7 linked regions of the Nothobranchius furzeri genome follow. The protein of the gene in region 1 interacts with the protein of each later gene in a biochemical or structural test. Links are inferred from orthologs where the notes say so. Each region holds a gene or a part of one and is shown in the gene's direction. Other genes may lie near its edges.

Region 1 (3,168 bases):
GCTGACTCAGTAGACAACAGCTTTAAAAGAGAGGAGATTTAGAAGCGAACTGCACCTGATTTGGCTCAACATGTAAGTAAAACACATTAAAGATGTTATTTTATATGTAAGAAGTTAGTAGTTGTTAAATTTAAAAGAGCTTCTAAGCATCTGAGTAAGATTTATGATTTCACAACCTTTAAAACTCAACACACACACACACACACATATATATATACACTTTTGTAGCTCATTAATAATTGTATTCTAAACATTTGAAGAACAAAAACGTTTTTACAGGACTAATGTGTTCCTAGAGGTGTGAAAAGTTGACATAAATGGATCTTTGCGATCTCATTTTTGCACATCCAGGAAATCCATAAACTCTTGTTTGGTGGTTTTAGTTTTTTTTACATGTCTGTGTGTGTGTGTGTGTGTGTGTGTGTGTGTGTGTGTGTGAGAGAGAGAGAGAGAGAGAGAGAGAGTGGGTGAGTCCAAACTGTGACATCCCAGTTTGACACGAGTTCCAGACTCACGTGGAGCAGAGTTGTAGCTGAACTGGGCTGGGTCCAACTCAGTCATGCATGACTAGCTCTCCCGCCAAAGCTTGAGTCACTCCTCCCAGAACCACCCTGCCCAGTAAAAGAAACGCCCTCCCCCTTCCTCTGTGGGACCAGGGCAGCGCAGGGATCCAGCAGGGATCCTTCAAACCCTTTTATTAACCTAATGATCCACCCACAATTGGGGAGCTTTATTCTGAGCCCTGTGCTGTGGGTGGGAGCGTTGAACACTGCATACATAGTCTTAGTGGTCATTAGATGTGTCCAACAAACCCATTTTTTAGTAAACTCTGATACAGACTGTAGTCAACTGACTTTACTACGTAGATAATTTTGATCAAAATGCAAAGGGCCCTTCTTTTTCTCATGAACAAACCAAACTGAACTCCATGATAGGAGCCAGATCAAGCTAAAATAGAGACATATTTCACTCTCATATTTTATGAATCAGAAAAAAGGGTTTGTGCTTGTGTTTGTATGAAAATAAAAATCAGAATCATATCAGATTATAACAGATGACTTGTTTCATTGACACATTTTTATTTATAACACTAATCAGTATTTTACTGAAACGCATCTTCACGTCAAATTGAAGCAGATTTTTCCAGATTCCGTTTGCAGATAACTGGAACAGCTTCTGTAAAATAAGCTCGTGTCCTCTTAATCACTGATAACGTATTTTATTCATCTCCCAATCTCATCTGCTGCACCGTAACTGGACGGGCAGGGACTGTTTTCCTTGAATGCTTCCTTCCTTCTTGGATGGTCTGAATGACCTGTTTCCCAGGTCAGAGTCAGAAAACAGTCACATGTTTCCCTCAGTTTCAACGTAAACTGAAGATGAATTATTTCTCTGGTGTTTGCCTCCGAGCTGTCTGTAGTCGGAGTGACAGTGCCACCTTGTGGTTTATCTCTCTTACACCAAACACCACAACAGCAGAGGACTTGCCCTTACATGCCTGTGAGAGATTATGCCCAGACATGTACCAGAGAGGAGGGCTAGTGACTCACTGCTGCTGCTGCACTGCATTATAAAAGCCCGTCAGCTCACAGAAGCAGTCTAGTTCACTGAGGAGCTGTTAGGCTAGAACCATGGTGAGTCTGACTAAACTTTGTTTAAATCACTGGTTTGAAAATATTAAAAACATTTAGTTTGTGTACTTTTTAGACTGTGGACAAAATAGATTGTGGCTTTTGAAACTAATCAGTTTTCCTGTTTTTACCTACAGTGCAGAGGGATGGCTACACTTCACAAGCGAGCCCTCAGTACTCTAAGAAGGAACGGTCCCCCTCGGCGGAGCCTGTTTGGCCCAGTGGACCGAGAACAGCTCCAGATGGAGTACCGGACTGCCCTGCGTAAAGATCTGGAGGAGGCTTCCCAACGCTGGGGGTTCGACTTCTTCTCCGACAAACCTCTGGAGAGCGGTGATTTCCAGTGGGAGATTGTCCCAGGTACCAGGGTGCCACTGCCCTACAGATCCAGCGTCATCTGTGCAGGACATGCAGAGGGTCAAAGGTCAGCAGGTGCAACCAAAAGAGGAAGGGTGGTGGTACCAGAGAGGGAGAAAGAGAACTTCCCCCAAACTCTAGAGAAATGTTCTCTGAGTCTGGAGAACATGGAGACAACATCAGAGACGGAAGACAAATCAGGAATGAAGAGGAAACAGACAAACATTACAGGTATGTTTAGATATTTTTTATATCAAATTAGAAACACTCATCTTTTCTCATAAGCTAAGTATCCTCTTCTTTAACCCAACAGATTTCTATCAGGCTAAAAGAAGAGTTGTCTGGCTGCCGAGGAAATCCGGGGAGTGATATTTCCTTTGAAGGTGCCAAAACTCCCAAGAGAACCAGACAAAGAACCAGCACCTCCTTCAGGAATCAGTTGTTCCACACCGAGCAGCGGGAGTGCTGAATCATCCAACAAAAAAAAAACAAAAAAAAGAAAAAAAAAACCCAGAAGGCACCAGGCTAATTAAGATGCTGCATGTGTGAGGGGTCTGGTGTTTTCTGTCCACGCTGCAGTTAAGAAGGTGACATTTGAGCAGAGAAGATTAACAGTAATCTCTGGAATCAGTGGATTTATACTCATTTGGACTGAGAGCTCGCCAAATTGCTGACTGACATTTGTTACGGCGCGTCACACAGCTCTTAACCCTCTCGGTCTCGTTTTGATAAAAGGACGAACAACTAAGTCCTTCAGGGGTGCTTCTGAGTTAAAAAATGCTCATGAGATACTTGTGTGGAGTAACCAGGTAGGTAGGTTTTAACTGTTGCAGATCTGCGATGCCTGCCTCCAGAGGGTTAAAACACAATCACATCTCAGTTTGGTGGGACTTCTGCCTGTTTGAGGATGAAAAGCAGACGTGCGAACAAATATCAGGACTCAGATTAATACGTTTCTGTGGCAAAGCCGCAGGAAAGCTAAAAACAGGAGAGCTTTGTCTATTTTGTTCAAATCTATAATTGTTTTTCTACGTCTTTTTATAGGAGTTTTTTTTTTAAGTGCATTATATTTTACATCGGGGGTTCCCAATCCTGGCCCTGGAGGGCTGGTATCCAGCAGGTTTTGTGGTTTTTCTGCTCCAACAGACTTGATTCAGTGGTTGAAACGCCTGTGCAGCAG
Region 2 (4,046 bases), on another chromosome or scaffold:
TGTTCAAGTGTACTTAAAATGAGATGACAACTAAACTTGTTGCAAGTACTTCTATGTAAATATAACAAATGTGCAGTTTTTGAATTGCTCTAAATGCAAAGAAGCACTTTAAAGATTTATTTCATCTTTGATTTGCCTTTACAAGCTAAAGTGGGTTTCTAATTCAAATTGAAAAAATTACAGGATTCTTCTGCAACATTTGGTTAGATGTATTAAGTACATTTTCAGAAATAACTGCGTTTACAAGTTTTGTCTCTTGTTTTGTGTTACTTTGAGTTTGTGTTTTAGTTGCCCTCGTACTGTGGAGGTTGTCACTTTCCTTGATGCCACAATTTCTTACTGCTCTTTAAAAGACAAGGTGTTCTTGCACTTAGCACAGTACCTACGTGTTTTCAGATATAATATAACTAATAAATGATGATCTCCCTTTGTTGGTTTCCAAATAGTTTTTTAGATCAACCCTGACATCTTCCTGTCACGCGGTGATGATTCTAACCACTGACCTGTTGGTCATAAGGCCGTTTTTTTTCCCAATGATCTGAGGTCTATTATATGTACACACAGGACTGCATGTTGACCTAAACTTTTGGTGAATTTGGTCAAAATTCGACAGAACATCTCAGCACAAACAAATAACTATCAAGCGCAAGGGTGGAGCGGTGATCACCTGGGATTTTTTATAGTAACATTATTGACACATTGCTGACTTTTAGCCAAGCACTAATTCTCATAAATGCCAAACATGAGTTAAAAGTGGACAATAATAGCCATTTTTGTATGTGCTACAGTAATATTGAGTTTCACCAGTAGCGGTTCGAGGGGGGTGGGGGGTCCAGTGGAGGCCGATGCCACCCTCATAGCAAGCCAGGCTTGAGGGCCGTGCCTAATCATTAATTTTTTTCATTCTTTGTTATAATTTCACTTAATGCAACATGTAGAATCTCCATTGTGTTTATATTGAATTAAATGTCAGAATATTTACTTAGTGGCGTTACCTCAGATAGGGTGCTCTTATTTCTACTTTAGTTTATTTTACTTTTAAGATTAAATGTTTCTGAAAAATGCAACAATATTGTAAGGAAGAATCATATATTCACGAAATGGTGTAATGCAATAGCGAACAACTCAAGTCTTATGACTGAGGATCATGCCTGAAGTTTGGAAATTTATGGGCTTTCGCGGTGGTTTCGCCGCCCTCCTCTCCCTGCCCCTCTTGAAAAACAAGCGCACCTCTGCGTGACATCAGCATCTTTGTTTATCACGGCGGCAGGGAGGAGCCGCCGCTACTGCCTGAACAAGTATCCTGGTAGTCTTTTATCAGCTCTCTGGCACTCTGGGCGTACAATTTCGCTGTTCGGTGCACCTATTTCTGTCCCAAAGAAATATGTCGGCCAATGGAAGTGAAGCCGGAGCGGACTGTACGGACGCGAGGCAAAGCGGCAGAGAGCAGTAAGTAACGAAGCTAGTAGCGACCTTTAGCCTCAGCAGCAGGTTAATATTTCTACTGCGGTGAAGTTAGCTTGAAGTTGGACGTTGGATATTCGACAGACATTGGTTTACACGGTCAGCGATAAGCCTTCATGCCGTGCACTGCGGCACAGACAGCGGTAACCTGAGTTCCGAGGACTCGCTAATGGGAACGGTGGTTCACTTAGGGGCTATCAACAAATTTGTAGTCCGTTGTAAACGAGTACAAAAAAATTAAAAGCTTCCAGAATAACTTGCTAAATGACTCAATTACTTCTGACTTGTGTTACTAAGCTACATTTACAAGACACAACAGTTTTAACACATTTCACACAATCTGATCTTTTTTATTAGGATTTTATTCCAAAATCAAGGGATTTTTTTTCCAATAGCTCCTAGGTAAATTTGTCTAAATCCACAAAACCATTTCTCAATGATGTTACTAAGCCAGACCGATGAGACACAGCAGTTTTCATCACATTTCACAAGATCTGATCTTTTTAATTAGGATTTTCATGAAAATTTCTGTGATTTCTTTCAATACCTCTTAGGTTAATTGATTTTAATAACCTAAACCATTTTTCAACGATGCTACTACGCCAGACCAATACGACACAGCAGTTTTTATAACATTTCTCAAGATCTAACCTTTCTTATTAGGATTTTTATCAAAAATTAAGTATTTTTTGTCAATAGCTCCTTGGTAAATCAGTCAAAAAACTCAAAACCATTTCTCAGTGGTGTTACTAAGCCAGACCAATGAAACACTGCAGTTGTTTTCACATTTCACAAGCTCTGATCCTTTCTATTAGAGTTTTTATTAAAAAATAAGTGATTTATTTCAATAGCTCTTAAGCTAATTGCTGTAAATACTCAAAACCATTTCTCAATGCTCAGCAACACAGCTTCAGGCTATTGCAATTAAAATCTTTGACCTCAATCAAACCTCTCCTCCCACAAATTCTTAGGTGGTATGCTCTTCTTCCTCCTGTCTTGGAGTGGGGTTCTCGTCGATGGTAACCTTTCTCAATCAGAACATCCCTCGTCACCACCTGGCTTGATATCAAGTTGTAGTCAAAGTTGTAGTCAATCGCATTGGTACGCAGTCCATTTCATTTCAGTTGGCCTCGTGTTTCAGGTGAGCATTTTCATCAGTAAGTGACGAGGCCAAATTCTCTCTAGTCATGTGCCACGATGGGGTTTATGTTTTAGTATTTCACAAAGACAAACATCACAGCCACCAAGGCTCTGGTCAGCACATTTGGCGAGATGAGTTTGGGGTCCTTGCAGTTCTTGAGCAGCATCCGGCCTCTGGTGGTCTTAGTGTTCAAGGGCGAGGTCCATGGTTTTCATTTGTATTTCTTTCTAGCTGAAATGGCTATCGCGTATTTCCTTTATGTAGTAGTTGAGGTAGGAAACTACTATATGACACCTCTAGGGGGAGCCAGTGCTCCATTCTGGTAGTACTGTTTTAGCTAGGTCCGGGGCACTTCCGGTTGTGGGGGTGTAACGTAAGCTGTGGTGCTTTCGGTGTGATGAGCAATAAACGAGGTTCAACCAAGACTCTACTCTCTGGATGTAATTGTGTCTACCTGAGGATATTACACAATTGGCGACGAGGATAAAGTCTGGTGTGGTTCTCTGCGTCGGGAATAGACGGCCAGTCGGTCCGGACGTGTTGGGAGCGGGACATCTACTCGCCTTTGGACGACACAAAGGGGGAAAATGGCGGCGGTGATTGGGTCGGTGAGTCCGTTTGACGGCGACTTACAGTCATGGGAAGAATATAGCGAAATGCTTGACTTTTTCTTCGAGGCTAATGAGATAACGGATACTGATAAGAAGAAAGCTGTGTTGCTGAGCGGTGTAGGTCCGGCTACCTACAGCTTGTTAAGAAACCTGTTGAGCCCGGAGGCACCGAAAGACAAGACGTATGTACAGTTGACGCAGACACTGCGGTTGCATTTCAGTCCTAAACCAAGTGAGATTGTACAGAGGTTTAAGTTTAATTCACAGGTGCGGCGGCATGAGGAGTCGGTGGCAGATTATGTGGCTGAGTTGAGGAAACTGGCCCAGCACTGTGACTATGGAGCGGCTTTGCCACAAATGCTGAGGAACAGGTTGGTGTGTGGAGTGAATGATGACAGGATGCAGCGCCGGCTATTATCTGAAGTGGACCTGACGTTTGACAAAGCTCTTACGTTGTGCCAGGCCATGGAGTCTGCCTCTAAGGATGTTCGGGACTTGCAGGAGATATTGGGGGACGAGGTGACTCCAGCTTCTCGTGTGTCAAGGAGTCAGGGGACAGTCCACAAGATTTTAATGGACAAGGCTCAGCTGAAAAGTCTGAGCTGTTTTCGTTGCAACGGCCGACACTTGGGCACTGAGTGCAGGTTTGCAGCTGAACGATGTCACGGTTGTGGCAAGAGGGGTCACATTAAAAGAGCCTGCAGGTCCAAGTGGGGTCCTCAGGAGAAACAAAAAAAGGGGCCCCTGAGCAAAAAGGAGGGACGGAGAGACCCAAATAGAGGCAGTCAGACGCATTTGTTGAGAACAGAGGGGGGGAGTGACGCTGAAGA
Region 3 (3,500 bases), on another chromosome or scaffold:
AGGTGATCGTAGCAAAAGTGAGTGGTTGCCAGAGAGCCGAGTGAAAAAGGGGTGAAAGCTACTCGGGTTTAGGAGGGCAGCGGCGCAATGACTGATACCTAAATAGTTAGCTATTGTGAGACTTGCACAAACACTCTTTGTGCTTTTCTTTTTCAGGATGAAGTGGCGCACACACTCACAGAGAACAGGGTCCTCCAGAATTCAAAGCATCCGTTCTTGACTGTAAGGAGCCCCTCCGTATACCCAAAACCTTACGTTAACCCACAGAAATCCTCAGGAACCTCTTCAGTCCAGTCCAGCAGAATCCATTCAGAAAATCTGGGCTGGAGTGTTTGAAGTGATGTGCCTGTTTATAGCAACACTGGGCTTTTAGTTTTTTATTTGTTAACCCCCTTTTTTTTTTTTTTGACTAAGAGGTGGGTTGGCAGGTGGAGACATAATGCATCGGCTTCAATGTAGACCAGATGACAACGGTTCTTTAAAACCTCCACAAATCGGATCATTGATGTTCCCTTTTTGGTTGGGTGTTCCCACAGTTCTTTGTATTAAAATGCATTTTGTTTCCAGCTGTTTTAAAGGGCAGCTTCCTCCTGATTTCTCTCTAAACCTCAAGTTCTGCTTTAAACATGTTCTTCTTCTGCAGGGACTCAAATATTCCTTCCAGACACACGACCGCCTGTGCTTCGTCATGGAATATGCAAACGGCGGCGAGGTAGGCCGTTTTACCGGTGCCCTCACGACTAAGACCCTGTACACACGTAGTCGGGTATCCCACTAAACAAAGATATTTTCTGTCATCCACGCAAAAGTGAAGATCCAGGGCACCAAACGCGAATCTTTCAAATACCCGGACCAAAATGGAAATTTGTGAATTCTCCATCGTCAGCATGTGCTTGTGGACATAAAAAACTGGGTTTTAGGTTTTGTACTGTCACATGTGTGACCTGTTTACACTTACCTCCTTGTTCTTATTAGCTCGGTGGCTGCTCTGGTGAAGAAGACGCAGGTGAAAGACGATGTTGAGGACGGCTGTTGGCTGCCACCTTGTTATTCCACATCCATGGAATGTTTTTCGGCAAAGACGCCAACAATTTGGGGAACTACCGTCCCCTACAGGCTTGGGATGCCTACGAATGTGCTTCACAGTGTGCTAGATTATTTTGCCCAAAACGAGACCCAAGTTTTCTTCCTAAATGGAGGGGGGGGGGTAGTCGGCTACGTGTGTACATGGCTTCAGTTTCTCCCTTCTGGACAATTACTGAATCCTCGTTTTCTCCCCTACGTTTCCTCAGCTTTTTTTCCATCTGTCAAGAGACCGGGTTTTCTCCGAGGAACGGGCTCGGTTCTACGGAGCAGAGATAGTGTCGGCGCTTGATTACCTGCACGCCGAGAGGAACGTGGTTTATCGTGACTTAAAGGTAAGCGGGAAATTGTGCGCTCGCCTTTGTCCATTCTGGCCTCTTCTACTCATTTTTTCGCTCTCGCTTCCTTCCGTCGTCCTTCGGAAGGGTTTATCTTCCTCCTGAGCAGTGGCCGTGGCCAAGCCTTATTGATCTGCTTCCTCCAGGCCTCACTGCAGCTGGAGACGAGCTTGGTCCATACATTACTGCAGAGAGACGGAAGTAAACACCAGGCTCTTTGAACAGATTGCGACCTCCTCCAGTTATAGCGTGCATTCGATGCCCAGTGGGTGATATCTGTGCACTTTGTAATTGATACCGTTTTATAAGTTGACGCTGTAGAAAATAATTAATTTTGTTAACAGAAACCATCCTTCGTCTCCAGCTAAGATGTTTTTGGCTTCTAGTTCTGAATTTGAGGGAAACACAGAACCAGAATCCTTCAGTGCAGCAATTGATGGGCATCTTGTTGTTTAGGTGGGTTATAAATGCTGCAGTGGGCATCTGTAGGCATACTACTTTCAGCAGATAAAACTATACCAGCCAGGTCAGCACAGCACACACTCCCTCCCCCCCGGTTTCCTTCCCTGGGGTTTTACGAGGCAGGCTCCCAGCCTGCGAGGGTTCTCCTGAAAATGCCAGGATAGCAGGATTGGAGGATGTGCTGACTCTGGCTGGGCGCTGCTGGCCACGTGTGAGCTACAGCTGTCAGGTGACTATCTGGAGGGGGGTGAGGGCCAGAATGAGCAACCTCACGTCATGGAACTGAATGATGTCCACTTTGAGTAAATTTTTACTTGGCACAGATTTTGAATTGTATTTAAGGAAGTGGCAGCCAAGAGGGTGGAGTTTGCTGCTTTAGTCGTGAAGTTGATGGTTCTGAGCTCGTCTGTTTCTCACTATAATTTAAATCAATGCTTCAGTTGAATAAAAAGTTCAAAACGGAGGAAATTTGACAAATTTTTTCTAATTTCAGTTAAGAGAAGGACAGAATAAAGGGATTGTTTTCATCTAAATAATTATTTTTGTACTAAGATGTACGGATTATCTAAATATTACATTTGAATAAGGAATAAAGACAGAGCTAGAGTTACGACATTGTGTTTAAGAAACCCGTAAAAAGGAGCAAAAACAACAGTTGTGGCCAAAATACACACACGCGTTTGTATGTTTTTATTTTAAAGTTAGTACAAACTGCATCTTGTATTAAGGAGATGAAAGTTGATTTCATGTAGAAAACGAAACCTTTTCTTCCCTCCTTAGCTGGAAAACCTCATGCTGGACAAAGACGGACACATAAAGATCACAGATTTCGGTCTGTGTAAGGAGGGGATCAAAGACGGTGCCACTATGAAAACTTTCTGTGGGACACCTGAGTACCTTGCACCTGAGGTAAACACAAATCTACCTCTACTTACGTTGTTTTTAACAGCAGGCAACCTTCACTAAATTGGTGACAACATAACAAAGACTGTGTAAGTTCTGAGTTTAGGTGTTTGAGTGTTTTTCTTTTACAAATCTATCCAGTATATTAAATTCCTGCTTGTCTGGATTGAGAAAGATGAATGCCTGCATATGAAGTTTAAAACTTTGGTAACACTTTAGTTTAGGGAACACAAATTAACCATTAATTAGCTGCCAATTAATATGCATATTAGTGGACAACTAAGTCTGAACTAGTCATTATTAAGCACTTATTAACAGCTTATTACTAATGCTGTCATTCTGTCACTAACAGGCCATAAATTAAGAGTTTTATCAAAATAAGCCATTCATAGTGGTTTGTTGCTGATTCAATATCAACAATATGTGGCTTTTAACTCATTCACTGCTGGCCGTTTCCTGATCGCCAACAGCCTTCGCTGCCAGCGTTTCTCACCGTTTTTACTGTTTTTTTAAGAGTCACAGAACGTTGCGCGCTAGGATGATGTCGACGCCAAAACAAAGAGGAGACTCACCTCTTACATCAGGAAGAATCTGTGTGTTTCGAGCGTTATCCGTTCTTTCATAATCCGTTGTCGAATTGTGATCGGCAGACGCTTTTCCGGTTCGCGCCTCACTTTTTTTACAGGAACGGCCCAAAACGATCTCCTAACACAT
Region 4 (3,500 bases), on another chromosome or scaffold:
GAATTATCTTTTTTTTCCCTGGTACGACAAAAATCTCTTATCTTTGTTTTCCCAGGATACTCAGCAGAGTGTGACTGTGGTTTTGTTTCGGGATCAACACACACTCATCTCTTCAGGAGCTGTTGATGGGTAAACGCACAACTCTTCAGCTCGTCAAAATAAAATTGACCATAAAAATGACCCCACCCACCCTTTCAGAGTAATAAAAATGTGGGATCTGAGGAAGAGCTACAGCCCATGTCGCCACGATCCCGTTCCTCTGCAGACTTATCCATACTCTGGCACCTGCACACGCATGCGTCTGGGTCGGTCCTGCTCTGTAAAGATCAACATATTAATAATATATAAATATATATCCAAAAGACTCCAAATGAACTGAAATTAATGTTGCAGGTTATTCCGGACTCGTTCTGGACTCCTCGAGATCCAACGTCATGTGCAATTGCACAGATGACAACATCTACATGTTTAACGTGTGTGGGATTAAAACATCACCAGGTAACAAGGACAGGTTTTATATCTTTGGCACAGAGACCGTTTTCTCCTTACTGCTTTTAAATCACTAGATGGTGCTAAGGGTTTGTGCTTTTACTTTGGCGGGGAGCAGAGCACCAGAAGGGAGAAGTTGAGATGCTTTTTAGTTGTTTTTTTTTTTGGAAACTTAAATCTTCAGATCTTGTCACAACAAGAAAGAAAAGAAAGAAAGAAAAAATATCATTTCTATAGCGCCTCTCAAGATAAAAATCACGAGGAGCTTCACAAAAACCAATAACAAAAAATATAAAAATTGTAAAAATATAAAAAAGCATTTCAAAAATGTTCAAAAATATATTTAAAATGAGCAAGAATAAGCAATTGCGATTTAAAAGAAAAAATGTTAAGAAAGAGAGAGAGAGTGAACAGGAAAGAGGGAAATCAGTGGATCCTGAGGAAGGTGGAATAGATGGGGAGAGCAGAATAAAGAGAGAGTGGTGAAGAAGGTCATACAAAAGCCAGCTTGAACAAGTGAGTCTTCAGCTGCTTTTTGAAGGAGTCCACTGAGTCCACTGATCTCAGGCTCAGGGGGAGAGAGTTCCAGAGTCTGGGGGCCACAGCAGCAAATGATCTGTCACCTTTGGTCTTTAGCCTGGTGCTGCACAACCAGTAGGCTTTGATCACTGGACCTCAGGGACCTGCTGGGGGTGTAGGGACTAAGAAGATCATCAATGTAAGATGGTGCTTGTCCATGTAAGGCCCTATAGACCAGAACCAGGATCTTGAAATGAACCCCGAAGTTGACTGGCAGCCAGTGAAGCTGGAGGAGAAGCGGAGTGATGTGGGTGTGTTTGGAGGACATGGTCAGAAGCCGAGCACAGGCATTCTGAACCAGCTGTAGACGGTTCAGGGAGGTTCTGCTCAGACACGTGAAAAGAGAGTTAAAGTAGTCTAAGTGTGAGGAGATGAAGGTGTGGATAACTGTCTCAAGTTCAGAGGAGGACAGAATGGGACTCAGCTTAGCAATGTTCCTGAGATGGAAGAAGGAAGAGCGAACAAGAGAACTGACATGAGAATCCAGGGTGAGAGCTGGGTCAAAGGTCACGCCAAGATTCCTGACGGAACGTTTGGTGTGAGAAGCAAGCTGACCAAGAGAGTCTCTGACTTTGGGAACCAGCTTGTCTGGGGCACAGATGAGGTTCTCAGTCTTATCTTCATTCAGCTGAAGAAAGCTTCCAGCCATCCAGGTTTTCGTAGAGTCTAAGCAGGTGTGTAACAGCTGCAGCTTAGACATCTCATGGGGCTTAAAGGAGATGTACAGTTGGATGTCATCTGCATAAAGATGGTAGGAGATTACTTTGAAGGAGCTCAGGATGCGCTGAAGAGGAAGCAGATAGAGGAGGAAGAGCAGAGGCCCCAGCACAGAACCTTGTGGGACACCATGGGTAAGAGAGGTGGTGGAGGACCTAAACTTGGAGACGGCCACAGAAAAGGAGCGCTCAGAGAGATAAGAGGAGAACCACTCCAGAGCAGATCCTGATAGGCCTACCCAGTCTCTCAGCCTCTCCAGTAGCAGGTGATGGTCAACAGTGTCAAAGGCTGCAGTCAGGTCCAGCAGGACCAGAACAGAACAGTCCCCTGCATTTATAACAAATAAATAAATTTAATAAAATAATAAAAAAATTAATAAAATGTTCTCTTACATTTGTCTGATTGGCGGAGGGCCAATAACATGCTTCGGACCAAAAGCAACCATAGGACCATCCAGTTGTCAGAACCACCACACTTTCCTGGGTTCTCCATTCTTTACGCACTGACGTATTTAGCAACAGAACACCACTGGTGTGAGAGGTTCTCCACTCAATAATATCAGAAAAGGAGAAACAGCCGGCTGCTACCACTTCAACTTTTAGACAATCTACCAAAGTTCTGAAAATATAAACACCATTTGAAATCACAGACAACAAAAGACGTTTGGACCTAGAAAACAGCGACTGGTGTTTAGCAATATCTCGTTTTGTCCATCGTAGTGGGTTTCCAGTTCCAGCAGAAGAGCCTTAGGGAAGATACTCGAGGGGAGGGATGAGTGTTTCGTGACTGTGTTTGAGGTTGAAGCCTAGCTTGTTGTGTAGATTTGTTATAGCGGCTTTAATGCCTGAAGTTCTGAATCACGTTTGCTCACACAGTGGCAGTTTTCAGTGGACACCAGAACTCCTCGTTTTATGTGAAGTCCACCATCAGCCCCAACGACCAGTTCCTGGCCAGTGGCTCGAGTGACAACAACGTTCACATCTGGAAGGTACCGCCTTACGCCAGCGCCTAAATCTTTTTTTTTTTTTTCTCTCCTCGTGTTGATTCTATCAAAGAGCAGAGCATAAAAACTACTTGATAACATTTCAGATTTCTGATCCTCAACGTCCTCCCATGACGCTTCAGGGTCACAGCGAGGAAGTGACATCTGTCGCTTGGTGTCCAACGGATTTTGCCAAAGTATGTTTTTAAACCTCAGGGTGATGAACCAGAATGTAATGTTTTAATACAAAATTTCTTAACCAAGAATGTTTATTTTTTCACATTTGAACTGTTTTGATTGATTATTTTTATGTTTTAAAAAGTTACTTTTTTTACCCCCTCTGCTCTGTTGACAGATTGCTTCCTGCTCCGATGATCACACTGTCCGGATATGGAGACTTCACAGGGAAACTGATGATCCACAGTCATCGGTGGGGGAGGCCAACCTTGTAGGCTGGGCACGACCTAAACTTCCCACCAGTACGTACTTGTTGTTTATCTGTGGCGACCATATTGAATTAGTTCTAGATGAAAATCCAGTTATCACTTTCTGAGCAACACCGGCAAAAACATTAAAGCTGCACTACATGATTGAGTAGGCTAATGGTTTGAGCTGAACTGGTGTGACTTTTGCTGTTCAGGTCTTTCACTCAGACCTGAAACGACGCCTTTGAAAGACTGGGAAGTGAGGAGTCTTTCTGGTCTCCCCTCACCTCTGCTTGCTGCCTGTGCCC
Region 5 (3,071 bases), on another chromosome or scaffold:
ATATCTCCAGAGAAGTCTTCTCTGATTTAAAATTCTGTTTCCTTCTTTAAATAATCATAAAGCAGCGGGAATTCCCTGAAAAAACTCTTTGTTTTAGCACACGTATTTATCGCTACGCCCATTCCTTGCAGCAAACGGTGAGCAGAGTTGTGAACTGTTAGCCTAAAATAAGTGTTTCCTTGTGTCTGGTTCAGTGAAAGAAGAAGCGCTGGATTCTCCCACTCTGGCTCGGGGCAGTAAACGCTGCCTTTCAGGAGTCTCCCCCCCGTATGCAGCGCCCCTCTCTCCCAAACACGTACGAGCTGAGGCTCACCCTTCAGAAGGTATAGCTCCCTGAGTGTGGGGGTGTGTGTGTGTGGGGGTGTGTGTGTGTGTGTGTGTGTGGGGGGGGGGGGGGGGGGGGTTTATAGTCCTCCCGTCTACCTCTTATCAGCGTGTTTGTTGTAAAACCATTTCATAAATCAGAGTTTCAGACGTTGGATCTACAGACAAGCAACACTTTGCTGTTGCAGGACAGTACACAGTTTGTAGTATTTTCAAAAGTACTTTGTGTACTTACATGTATGTGGACATCACTGAGCGGTGTTTTAAAACTTTGTGTGTCTTCCTCCCTCCAGCAGAGACTCTTCCACATGAAGAGAACGGCCTGATGAAGGAGCAGCGCTACATGGATTCTGCGTCCAACTCCATGACCCCCCGACCCCAGACGATGCGGAGTACCTCGGAGTATCACTCCCAGGCCAGAAGCCTCTATCACCGTGGCGGTAGCACACCGATGCGCCGCCATTCTTCCAACCCAGCAGAGCTCAGCTCCCCTCAGCCTCTGAGACGAGTGGAAGGTACGGGCGGGTTGGGTGGTTGTAGGACGTTAGCTGCAGGCGCTTGTCCTGCTACGAGGCTTGGTTCTCTGACGTGTGTGCTTTGGCAGCAGCCAGCTCCACCACAGGTCCCGACTCTGTGGTTTCAGAGCGAGAGAGTCTTCCCGGTAAAAACCCCGCCTCCTGGTCCATCGAAGAGGTGATGCAGTTTGTCCGGGACGCAGACCCCACCGCGTTGGCGCCTCACGCTGAACTCTTCAGAAAACATGTAAGACCAAGTTGGTACGTGTGGTGTTGTTTTTAGTCTTTATTATTGAGTCTCCTTCTTCGTCGCTACAGGAAATCGATGGAAAAGCGTTGATGCTTCTACGGAGCGACATGATAATGAAGTACATGGGTCTGAAACTGGGACCTGCGCTCAAGTTATGTCATCACATAGAGCGGCTGAAGCAAGGCAAGCTGTGACGAGCGTCAGGACCAGACCTGCCAGCAGGACGTCTGGATCCTGACTCAGGTCATGCAGGGGTCACGCGTTACACCGGACTTCTCCTGGAGGGACGCATTAGATGTTACACCTTCATCCCGACTTCCAGAGTGGACAAAGTGTGCCATGCATTGCTGACACATGACCTCATCCCCTCATTCGTGCACACATGGCTGTTTGAGTGGAACGAACGCGACGGACTCAAAGAAACCCCGAAGCAGAGAAACCCCTGCAGTGTTTACATCGCATAACGCGTGCACAGACATTTTTTTAATGGAAATGAAATGTTTAGATCCTGGTTTGGATCCCCAAAGATGGAGAATGTTTCTTCTTTATAAAATGTTTTTATTATTGTTAAATTTATACTCACTAAGAAAAGGGTAAGCATACTGAGAAGTTTTAAAACACATCAAACGTTCTTCCTGGTTCTTTAAGAGAACTTGATGCTCGTGTCTGTCCAGCTGGTTTTGCTCCGTGTTTGCCTAAAAGTCTCCGTCTGCCTGAAGGACGCCGACGTCGCCACACAGCTCGAGACGTTTTCTCTGCTCGTCCTGGTTCTGGTCGTGAGTTATACGGTCTTGCTGGACGGAGGCGTTCCCGTCGCTGTCCTGCACAGTCACTACTTGCTGTGAGTCTTTATAAGTTATTGTGTCTTCGCTGGTCTGAAGCAGCCTCCTGCTGGGTTCTCGTGCCCGTCTAGCGTGTTCTGCAAACTCAACCCTTCGGCTTCGATCCGTTTCAGAGAGAGAATGTTTAGGTATGACATTTCCAAGGGCTCCTCGTGGTTTTTTGTTTTTTTATGAATCATGTGCTGGTCTGCCCAAGACCTCAGTGTTGTTACAGTCGACCATTACAATCACTTTTAGTACTGTGTACAGTTTTATGGGTTTAACCATGAATATCAGCAGCAGAATGTACATTTTGTGGAAACGTAATATTTTAAGGAATTTGTATACGTAAGACAGAAATGTGAAGCTAGAAGGTGATGGGTCGAGTATTTAACGCTGGTTTTCAGAGACCTAAAACAGTGCTTTTAGTTCACTTCTAAACCCTGCCTTGCTCGAAGGCATTTCTCAGGTTTCTGTGCTTTTAGTAGTTTTTGTAACGTATGTTTGTAGTTACCCATCCTCACCTTCTACACTTTAAACTTGTGCCATGTACTCCACACAGGATCAAAGTGCTGACTGTTTCTTTTCTGCATCTTTAAAGTACTTTTGCAAACTGTTGCTCGTCCGTCATGTCACACCAGATAAAGGTTGTGTTTATACACGTGTGCATCTTCTGTCATGCCATAACCAAGGTATGAAAAATACTCTTATTTTTGTTTGGTTGTTTTTCCCTGAAGAACCATGTGGAAATGTTTTTGGCTCGACCCGGCTGGCTCAGAAGAACCATATCTGTGCCCTAATGGGAATTCTCTAGCAAATGAAAACACTCCTTAATAGAAAAAAGGACAAATGTCTCTTTAAAAGACAAATCTGTCTTTAATTTCTAATAAGTCTGATTCTGGTTTAGGATGCCACAGAGAGCGTGACCTGCGACCCCGGGAAGATGTTTGTAGCTTCATACAAGAATAGCAACGAGCTAAAGGCTACTTTTAGCAGTTTTATGCTAATACGTGGTTGCACTACCCACGACAACATGAAGGTGTAAAGACAAACAGATCTATCATTTTGCTCTGATGGTTTGTCTCATTGCTCCAACTTTCAGCCAGACTGAACTTTTCCCTCCGATAAACAGGACAGGTAAAGTGCATTTACCTCCCGTTA
Region 6 (4,121 bases), on another chromosome or scaffold:
AAGGTTTGCTAGTTGGATCAAGTCTTGCCAAACTCCTTTTTCCTTCTGATCCATCCTGTCACTATAAAACTAAATGAGTTGAGACCGTCTTGGGTGAAATCATCTATGATTTCTCATCTAAACCTTACTTTGGAAATTAACTATTTATAGCATCATAATATAGGTTAACTTCATCATCTGAAATCTCTGTTTTCAGTTGTTGTTTATGCTATTTTGTCCAGTTAAAGAAAAGCCAACACATTTTCTTGCTTGCTTAGAAAATGTGCTAGCAAGAGGTGAGACCTCTACGCCAAAACACACAATACCTCTTAGAATTTTACTCAGTGGCCTGTAAAGCCCTGGTTGACGTTTTTAGTGAGTTATTTTCCACCAATTTTGTTTACAGTTAAAGATGTTTTTATATTTATTAGTAAGCCCAAAGATTTTTTAGAAATAATTTTACTAATTAATGACTATGTGAAAAATTATTGTAAAGACGAGTAAATGAAAGTCTCCATCAGTGTATTATTATTGTCGTTATTGAACCCAAATTGTTATCTAGGCCCTTATAATCAGGTCATAGTTTTTAAAAATTTTGTTTTCAAAAGACTGAAGTTCATTTGATGAACACATATTGTATTTACATTTTGTATGTTTATTTTTTACATAAACTTTCAATGTGAATTGTGCAAATAAAAATCTTAAAGCAGAACTATTCTTTGGAATTGTTTGTTTGCGCATTAGTTCTCAGTGATCAACTATAAACAAATGCAACTATTGTAAATATATTTATAATTAACATACTTAATAGTTTTGCTTCATGTAGAATTTCATGTTTAGTTTTGTAAAAATCTGATTGATCTGTGCTCCATTAGTTCTGGCTGAAACTCGCGCGGGAATTCTGCGAACCAGTTCACTGATCCTATATTGCTCTTAAGATGCCCCACTTGGTAGAAGAAGAAAAGTTAATGTGTGTAGCGCCTTTCAAGATAAAAATCACAGTGCGTCAGAGATTTAGGTTAGGGCAGAGCTACTCTAGCTCTGGGTTAGAGTGGCCAAATGTTTCTCTCTTTTATGAACCGTTAAGAATAAACAAAGTTGTTATGTGGTTACAGTGTAACAACTCAACCCTGATTTTTTTCGGTACATTAGAGAAAAATACAAACAGGTGGGGACCACACAGAAGTTTAAAATGGCCAAACGAATCATCATAATGTCTCGAATCATAACGTAAACAAACTAAAACGTAATATACCACAAAGTACATTAAAACAAAGTTAAAACTTACGTGGATTGTAAATCGGAGTCAGAGTGAGACCTCGTCTCGTGAGCTTCCTCTCCAAGTAGCACGCGGGCTGCAGCCGCCGCTCTGCCTGTGATTGTTGTGGTGGCTCCGAGAGTGCATCGGAGAAAGTTGCCCTCTTCATCACGTCGCTTTGTTTGCTTGTTTGCAACATTAAGGAACAATGGCGGACTCCCAAGATGACAAGCTCTACAAGGCGGAATACGCGAAAAGCGGCCGGGCTTCGTGCAAGAAATGCAAAGAGAGCATAGCTAAGGACTCGCTGAGGATGGCCCTCATGGTGCAGGTGAGGAGGTAGCGACGTCTGGAGGGATTTAACCAAGGAACCATTCTGTTATGAAGCCTTTTATAACCGTGCTGATATCTAAATCATATGTGCGCATATAGAGAACCATAATAATCAGACTTTAAACTAATCTAGTGTAGTTTATAAAGGAGTTTGAGTTGTGCTAAGTGAGGCCCCCGGTTAGCATTTAAATGGCTGACTGAATGAATCTGGCTCACAAAGAGCCGCCTGGATCGCCTCAGAGGGACTTAGGACAATGTCTGAGACCCATCCAGTGTGCTGCAGAATACAACTGCTCCATCCTCTCCTCCACTCAAGAGACATAGATAAAAAAAATCACACAAGCAGCTGTTCCAGTCTGTGCAATAGAGAAATAATCATGTAAGAGTCAAACTCCTGCTTATTGGTCAGTCTGTGGGTCCAGATCAGCACTCACCCCTGCAAAAGGAAGGAAAATTCATTACCACTTGCACACATTTAAAGTTTCAGCCACAAAATATAGTCTATATAGTATTTCTTTTGTAACGTCTTAATAGTTACAGTAATGCATATTATCAGGTCAGTGGTTCCTTTTTGTTTTTATTGTTGGAAAACCCAACCGTGTGTTGTGTATTTTCTGCAAAATATGTCAATTTTTTTTTAGTTCTGGCTGCATGAAACATTGACATTCTTGTGAATATGTTTATTTGTTATACTTGTTTAAATAAGTAAGTCAGAATTATTATCTGTAGTTTTAAAGACAAAATTGTGAAAACCCTTGTTTACAAATTCATGATTTTATTTTTAACGTGAGTAAAATCTGAATTTTTTTAATGCACAAAAAACGTTTGTCATGTAAAACCAGAAAAATTCCATCCATCCATTTTCATCCGCTTATCCGGAGATGGGTAGTAGCCAGTAGCCGAAGTCAAGAGGCCCAGACTTCCCTCTCCCCAGCCACTTGGGCCAGCTTCTCTGGTGAAATCCCAAGGCGTTCCCTGGCCAGGTGAGAGACATAGTCCCTCCACCGTGTCCGGGGTTTACCTTAAGGGCTCCTCCTGGTTGGACGTGCCCAGAAAACCTCACCAGGCAGGACTGCGGGTTCCCGTCAGCTGCCTCTGGAGTCCCACAGGCCAAAAAGACCTGTTAGGACTCTTTCTTCAGCTTGACGGCATCCCTAACCGCCGGTGTCCACAAGCGGGTTCGGGGGTTGCCACCACGACAGGCACCAACGATCCTGCGACCACAGCTCCGGTCGGCCGCCTCAACAAAAGAGGCACGGAAAAGAGTGCATTCAGACTCGATGTCCCCCGCCTCCCCCGGAACATTTTGGAAGTTCTGTCGGAGGTGGGAATTGAAGCTCCTTCTGACAGGAGACTCTGCCAGACGTTCCCAGCAGACCCTCGCGATACGTTTGGGCCTGCCTGGTCTGACCGGTATCCTCCCCCACCATCTGAGCCAACTCACCACCAGGTAGTTGTCAGTTGCCTGCTCCGCCCCTCTCTTCACCCGAGTGTCCAAGACACGCGGCCGCAGGTCAGACGAAACGACAACAATCCATGACTAGCACAGAAATCCAACAACAAAACAACATTCAAATTCAGAAACCAGAAAAATTCAAACAGAAAAACCTTTATTCTCACTTTAATGGTTTTGTTTTTTTTTTTCATCTTTTTTTTCTGATATTTGCTGTTGCTTCATTGTCTTGTTTTTGTCCTCCAGTCCCCGATGTTCGATGGGAAAGTCCCACACTGGCACCACTTCTCCTGCTTCTGGCAGCGAGCGGCAGCTCAGACTGAAGCAGACATCGCCGGGTTCTCCACTCTTCGCTGGGAGGACCAGCAAAAAGTCAAAAAGGCTATTGAGACTGGAGGAGCTGTCGGAGCAGGTCGGTGGTAGATCTTTAATTATTGTGTTCAGCGCCTTGTTTGGTTGTAATGCCTTGTGAATGCGCTTTATAAATAAAATTGGATTGGATCGTAAGCAAAAGAGCTTAAGATAGCTACTTTCAATTGGTTTAACTTTGTCTTATTAGCCAGATAAAAAAGTGAAGTGATCCATAAAAAGTCAAAAGAGTGCCATTTCTCAAGTTGTTCTAAATGTTTTTAATTTATCATTTACTATTAATGCATATTTTTTTTAAATGTTTAGACTTATTTTCCTTTGCATCTTGCAGGGAAAAGTGATTCAAAAGGTGCCGCTCAAGGGGCCAAAACTCTGAATAACTTTGCCGTGGAGTACGCCAAGTCGAACCGCAGCACGTGCAAAGGCTGCGAGCAAAAAATAGAAAAGGTCCGCAGCACAGGAAATGTCTTAATCAATAACCGTTGAACACGTGTCATAAATACTTCACATGTCTGCCGTATTTTTGCTTCTCTTTCAGGATCAGATTCGTGTTTCCAAGAAAACGGTTGACCCAGAGAAACCTCAGCTGGGTCTGATCGACCGCTGGTACCACACGGCGTGCTTCGTGAGCCGCAGGGAGGAACTGGTGTTTAAGCCCGATTATTCCGCCGCCCAGCTGAAGGGATTCGACGCGCTGCGCGCCGAAGACAAGAACGATCTTAAGAAGAG
Region 7 (2,822 bases), about 2.4 Mb from region 1:
TCGGCCTGATAAATAAAAGTGGGCCGATATGAACAACCGATATTTTTTCAATCTTGTCTCCATTTGTTTATCTGTTTCAGAGGGTGAGGGGGTGATGTGTATTTGTTTAGTCATGTGACAGTGAATGAAATCATCTCAGAAGCATGTGTGTGTTGTGTGTGTACATAATACGGTAAATTCAGCTTTAATAATTTTCATTCTATACAAAATCTGTTGATTTTAGACAGATTAATGTCAGTATAACAGTCTAGGCAAATATCGGTTATCGGTCATAACAGCGATTTTAATATCAGCATCGGCCCAAAATTTCATATCGGTGCATCACTACTGTATTCAGCAATGCCTGCTTGCTGGTCATTATTTGTTTTGGTGTAAAGCTCTGGTTTGTTTGTCCCTAATGCAGAGAAACAGAAGGCGTACCAAGCACGGCCATCCGGGAAATTTCACTCCTCAAAGAACTCAGTCACTCAAATATTGTCAAGTAAGTTCTTAGTGTTTGAGCCACGGCCAGAGCACGTCTGAACCGTTGCCAACTGTCATCATTTGTTTTTGTTTTTTTATTAGACTCCAGGACGTCATCCATACGGAGAACAAACTTTACCTTGTTTTTGAGTTCCTTCATCAGGATCTGAAAAAGTTCATGGATTCCTCCTCAGTCACAGGAATCCCGCTGCCTTTGGTCAAGGTAGTCATCACTTTGTGACTGTCAGTCCTCAAAATGTTAGGATTGAATCTTCTGTGCAAATTAGATCTGATCTTACTTTTGTTGTTCTTTTAGAGTTATCTCTTCCAGTTGCTGCAAGGCCTGGCCTTCTGTCACTCCCACAGAGTTCTTCATCGAGACCTGAAGCCTCAAAACCTGCTCATCAACGCCCAAGGTGAGATCAAGCTGGCTGACTTTGGCCTGGCGAGAGCCTTTGGGGTACCCGTACGAACATACACACATGAGGTAAGCTGTCTAAGTGGGTTTTATCAGGACAGCTTAGTTTATTCTTTTAGCTTCTTGTACAAAACCACTTTTCTGAATTTCCAGGTGGTAACACTTTGGTACAGAGCACCAGAAATCCTCCTGGGCTGCAAATACTATTCCACAGCTGTTGACATCTGGAGTCTGGGGTGCATCTTTGCTGAAATGGTGATAAACACAGCCTCATAAATCAAAATAAACAGCGTTTGTGTGATGTGGAGTGTTGTTGACATCTAACTAGTACACCTGTGTCCACAGATCACCAGGAGGGCTTTATTCCCCGGCGACTCTGAGATAGACCAGTTGTTCCGAATCTTTCGAACCTTGGGAACGCCTGATGAGACCGTTTGGCCTGGAGTCACATCCATGCCAGACTACAAACCATCTTTCCCCAAGTGGGCTCGACAGGATTTGTCTAAAGTGGTTCCTCTCCTTGATGAGGATGGAAGGGAACTTCTAGGAGTAAGAACCGAAATAATTTCCCTCATTCTGCTGTACATCTTACAGATGGTAATACCAGTCATTTTTTTTACTTTGTTTTGACTCTATCTTTTAGGAAATGCTGAACTACGACCCAAACAAAAGGATTTCTGCCAAAAATGCACTGGTGCATCGATTCTTCCGGGACGTCACCATGCCAGTTCCTCACCTGAGACTTTAATCTGTGCAAATTAGCAGGCTGTTTTAAATGCCAATAATCTCATTAGCAATAAGGACCACCATGCCTTGCTTCAGTTCTGTGCCTGGGATGCACACTACAGGATACGTTATGATTCTTCAGCCGCGTTCAAGAAGCTGGTTTTCCTGGAAGTTCCAACTCTGATGTTATCAAAGTTTGAAGTGTTTAACTGTAATTTCTAATTATATTTTGCATATTTATGTGCAAGTGCTATATTTGATCTGTTTCTTGTGATTATCTATGAGTTCACGTCGGAGAGACACATCAGTGCCTTTCACTGAATTCTTTAATTTAAATGGTATGTTCGCATGTGGATGCCATCATCCAAAATGTCTGGATTAGAATTTCATTTGATCAAATTTGTGGGATCGTGTAAATTATAAACGATGTTAAACTGAGCTGCAACCAGGGGAAAAATGGGGGGATATTACATGGTTGGTGCTTAAAGAAGTTAAAATTAGTACGATTATCCTCCAGGTTCAAGCAGCGTTTGGTCCCAAAATATCTGGAAGTGGTTTTAAAATGTCATCTTTGAAGCGACGGTTCTGATATACAAGTGTTCTACGACATTTTACAGAACAAACTTTGCTGTTGTATCTTTAGATTTTATCCAGACTCAATGCACAGTTTTTATAGATGTTTATATACATTCAGACAAAATAAATGTGTTTCAGCACTTGTTTCTGGTTTTATGGCTGTTGTCAAATCAAATGGTGACATTTTTGATGTTTCCACTGTGTAGTTGGCATTATTTAGGTTTTATAGTGAAGGTAAAAGGCCTCTATTTGTGTCCTTCTTAGGGTTCTACAACCCCCCAAGGCTCCTCACAATACAATCCGTCATACACACATTCACACAGCAGTGGGGATGGGTGCACTGACAGAGGCGAGGCCTGGCGGGCACCACCAGCAGGCAAGGCGGGTTAAGTGTCTTGCCCAAGGACACAACAACAGCGTTTTCTGGTCAGAGCCGAGATGGAACCTGCAGGTGACGCTCATGTTTAATCAGAAATAATAAATCACAATAAAATAAAACAAGCAAAGCAAGAAAACTGATTTGGGTAGATTAAAGAAAGCTGTTTTATTAGAAATGCATTTCAATAAGTGAGATGTGGTCATGCACTCAAAAAAAAAAACAATAGTGCTAGCCAGCTAGCAGGTTCTCACACCAGATTAC

What was found.
Region 2: of the proteins of cdkn1a (region 1) and casp3a, one has a biochemical effect on the other in vitro, tested with the Homo sapiens proteins (3 studies listed by BioGRID). The link is inferred for Nothobranchius furzeri from reciprocal best matches to the Homo sapiens genes CDKN1A and CASP3.
Region 3: of the proteins of cdkn1a (region 1) and akt1, one has a biochemical effect on the other in vitro, tested with the Homo sapiens proteins (2 studies listed by BioGRID, with this or other methods). The link is inferred for Nothobranchius furzeri from reciprocal best matches to the Homo sapiens genes CDKN1A and AKT1.
Region 4: of the proteins of cdkn1a (region 1) and dtl, one has a biochemical effect on the other in vitro, tested with the Homo sapiens proteins (3 studies listed by BioGRID, with this or other methods). The link is inferred for Nothobranchius furzeri from reciprocal best matches to the Homo sapiens genes CDKN1A and DTL.
Region 5: the proteins of cdkn1a (region 1) and sex comb on midleg-like protein 2 form a complex in vitro, tested with the Homo sapiens proteins (2 studies listed by BioGRID and IntAct). The link is inferred for Nothobranchius furzeri from reciprocal best matches to the Homo sapiens genes CDKN1A and SCML2.
Region 6: the proteins of cdkn1a (region 1) and parp1 form a complex in vitro, tested with the Homo sapiens proteins (2 studies listed by BioGRID). The link is inferred for Nothobranchius furzeri from reciprocal best matches to the Homo sapiens genes CDKN1A and PARP1.
Region 7: the proteins of cdkn1a (region 1) and cdk2 form a complex in vitro, tested with the Homo sapiens proteins (9 studies listed by BioGRID and IntAct, with this or other methods). The link is inferred for Nothobranchius furzeri from reciprocal best matches to the Homo sapiens genes CDKN1A and CDK2.

What each region holds. Positions count from the first base shown.
Region 1 is NC_091743.1:46,701,408-46,704,575, reverse strand, and holds cdkn1a (cyclin-dependent kinase inhibitor 1), read left to right. Parts: upstream 1-1,500; 5' UTR 1,501-1,631; coding exon 1,632-1,634; intron 1,635-1,768; coding exon 1,769-2,219; intron 2,220-2,301; coding exon 2,302-2,357; 3' UTR 2,358-2,668; downstream 2,669-3,168. UniProt on the Homo sapiens protein: Plays an important role in controlling cell cycle progression and DNA damage-induced G2 arrest. Involved in p53/TP53 mediated inhibition of cellular proliferation in response to DNA damage.
Region 2 is NC_091744.1:19,575,380-19,579,425, forward strand, and holds the start of casp3a (caspase-3a), read left to right. Parts: upstream 1-1,246; 5' UTR 1,247-1,384; coding exon 1,385-1,449; intron 1,450-4,046. UniProt on the Homo sapiens protein: Thiol protease that acts as a major effector caspase involved in the execution phase of apoptosis. Following cleavage and activation by initiator caspases (CASP8, CASP9 and/or CASP10), mediates execution of apoptosis by catalyzing cleavage of many proteins.
Region 3 is NC_091758.1:33,910,168-33,913,667, reverse strand, and holds part of akt1 (RAC-alpha serine/threonine-protein kinase), read left to right. Parts: coding exon 1-17; intron 18-156; coding exon 157-222; intron 223-643; coding exon 644-712; intron 713-1,292; coding exon 1,293-1,418; intron 1,419-2,663; coding exon 2,664-2,792; intron 2,793-3,500. UniProt on the Homo sapiens protein: AKT1 is one of 3 closely related serine/threonine-protein kinases (AKT1, AKT2 and AKT3) called the AKT kinase, and which regulate many processes including metabolism, proliferation, cell survival, growth and angiogenesis.
Region 4 is NC_091742.1:7,898,061-7,901,560, forward strand, and holds part of dtl (denticleless protein homolog), read left to right. Parts: intron 1-55; coding exon 56-129; intron 130-198; coding exon 199-305; intron 306-393; coding exon 394-498; intron 499-2,660; coding exon 2,661-2,773; intron 2,774-2,874; coding exon 2,875-2,964; intron 2,965-3,122; coding exon 3,123-3,246; intron 3,247-3,407; coding exon 3,408-3,500. UniProt on the Homo sapiens protein: Substrate-specific adapter of a DCX (DDB1-CUL4-X-box) E3 ubiquitin-protein ligase complex required for cell cycle control, DNA damage response and translesion DNA synthesis.
Region 5 is NC_091756.1:62,972,408-62,975,478, forward strand, and holds the end of sex comb on midleg-like protein 2, read left to right. Parts: intron 1-194; coding exon 195-323; intron 324-617; coding exon 618-839; intron 840-928; coding exon 929-1,086; intron 1,087-1,157; coding exon 1,158-1,283; 3' UTR 1,284-2,571; downstream 2,572-3,071. UniProt on the Homo sapiens protein: Putative Polycomb group (PcG) protein. PcG proteins act by forming multiprotein complexes, which are required to maintain the transcriptionally repressive state of homeotic genes throughout development.
Region 6 is NC_091742.1:4,979,624-4,983,744, forward strand, and holds the start of parp1 (poly [ADP-ribose] polymerase 1), read left to right. Parts: upstream 1-1,321; 5' UTR 1,322-1,445; coding exon 1,446-1,568; intron 1,569-3,269; coding exon 3,270-3,435; intron 3,436-3,723; coding exon 3,724-3,839; intron 3,840-3,930; coding exon 3,931-4,121. UniProt on the Homo sapiens protein: Poly-ADP-ribosyltransferase that mediates poly-ADP-ribosylation of proteins and plays a key role in DNA repair.
Region 7 is NC_091743.1:49,085,331-49,088,152, reverse strand, and holds the end of cdk2 (cyclin-dependent kinase 2), read left to right. Parts: intron 1-403; coding exon 404-481; intron 482-564; coding exon 565-685; intron 686-778; coding exon 779-949; intron 950-1,033; coding exon 1,034-1,135; intron 1,136-1,225; coding exon 1,226-1,429; intron 1,430-1,523; coding exon 1,524-1,628; 3' UTR 1,629-2,322; downstream 2,323-2,822. UniProt on the Homo sapiens protein: Serine/threonine-protein kinase involved in the control of the cell cycle; essential for meiosis, but dispensable for mitosis. Phosphorylates CABLES1, CTNNB1, CDK2AP2, ERCC6, NBN, USP37, p53/TP53, NPM1, CDK7, RB1, BRCA2, MYC, NPAT, EZH2.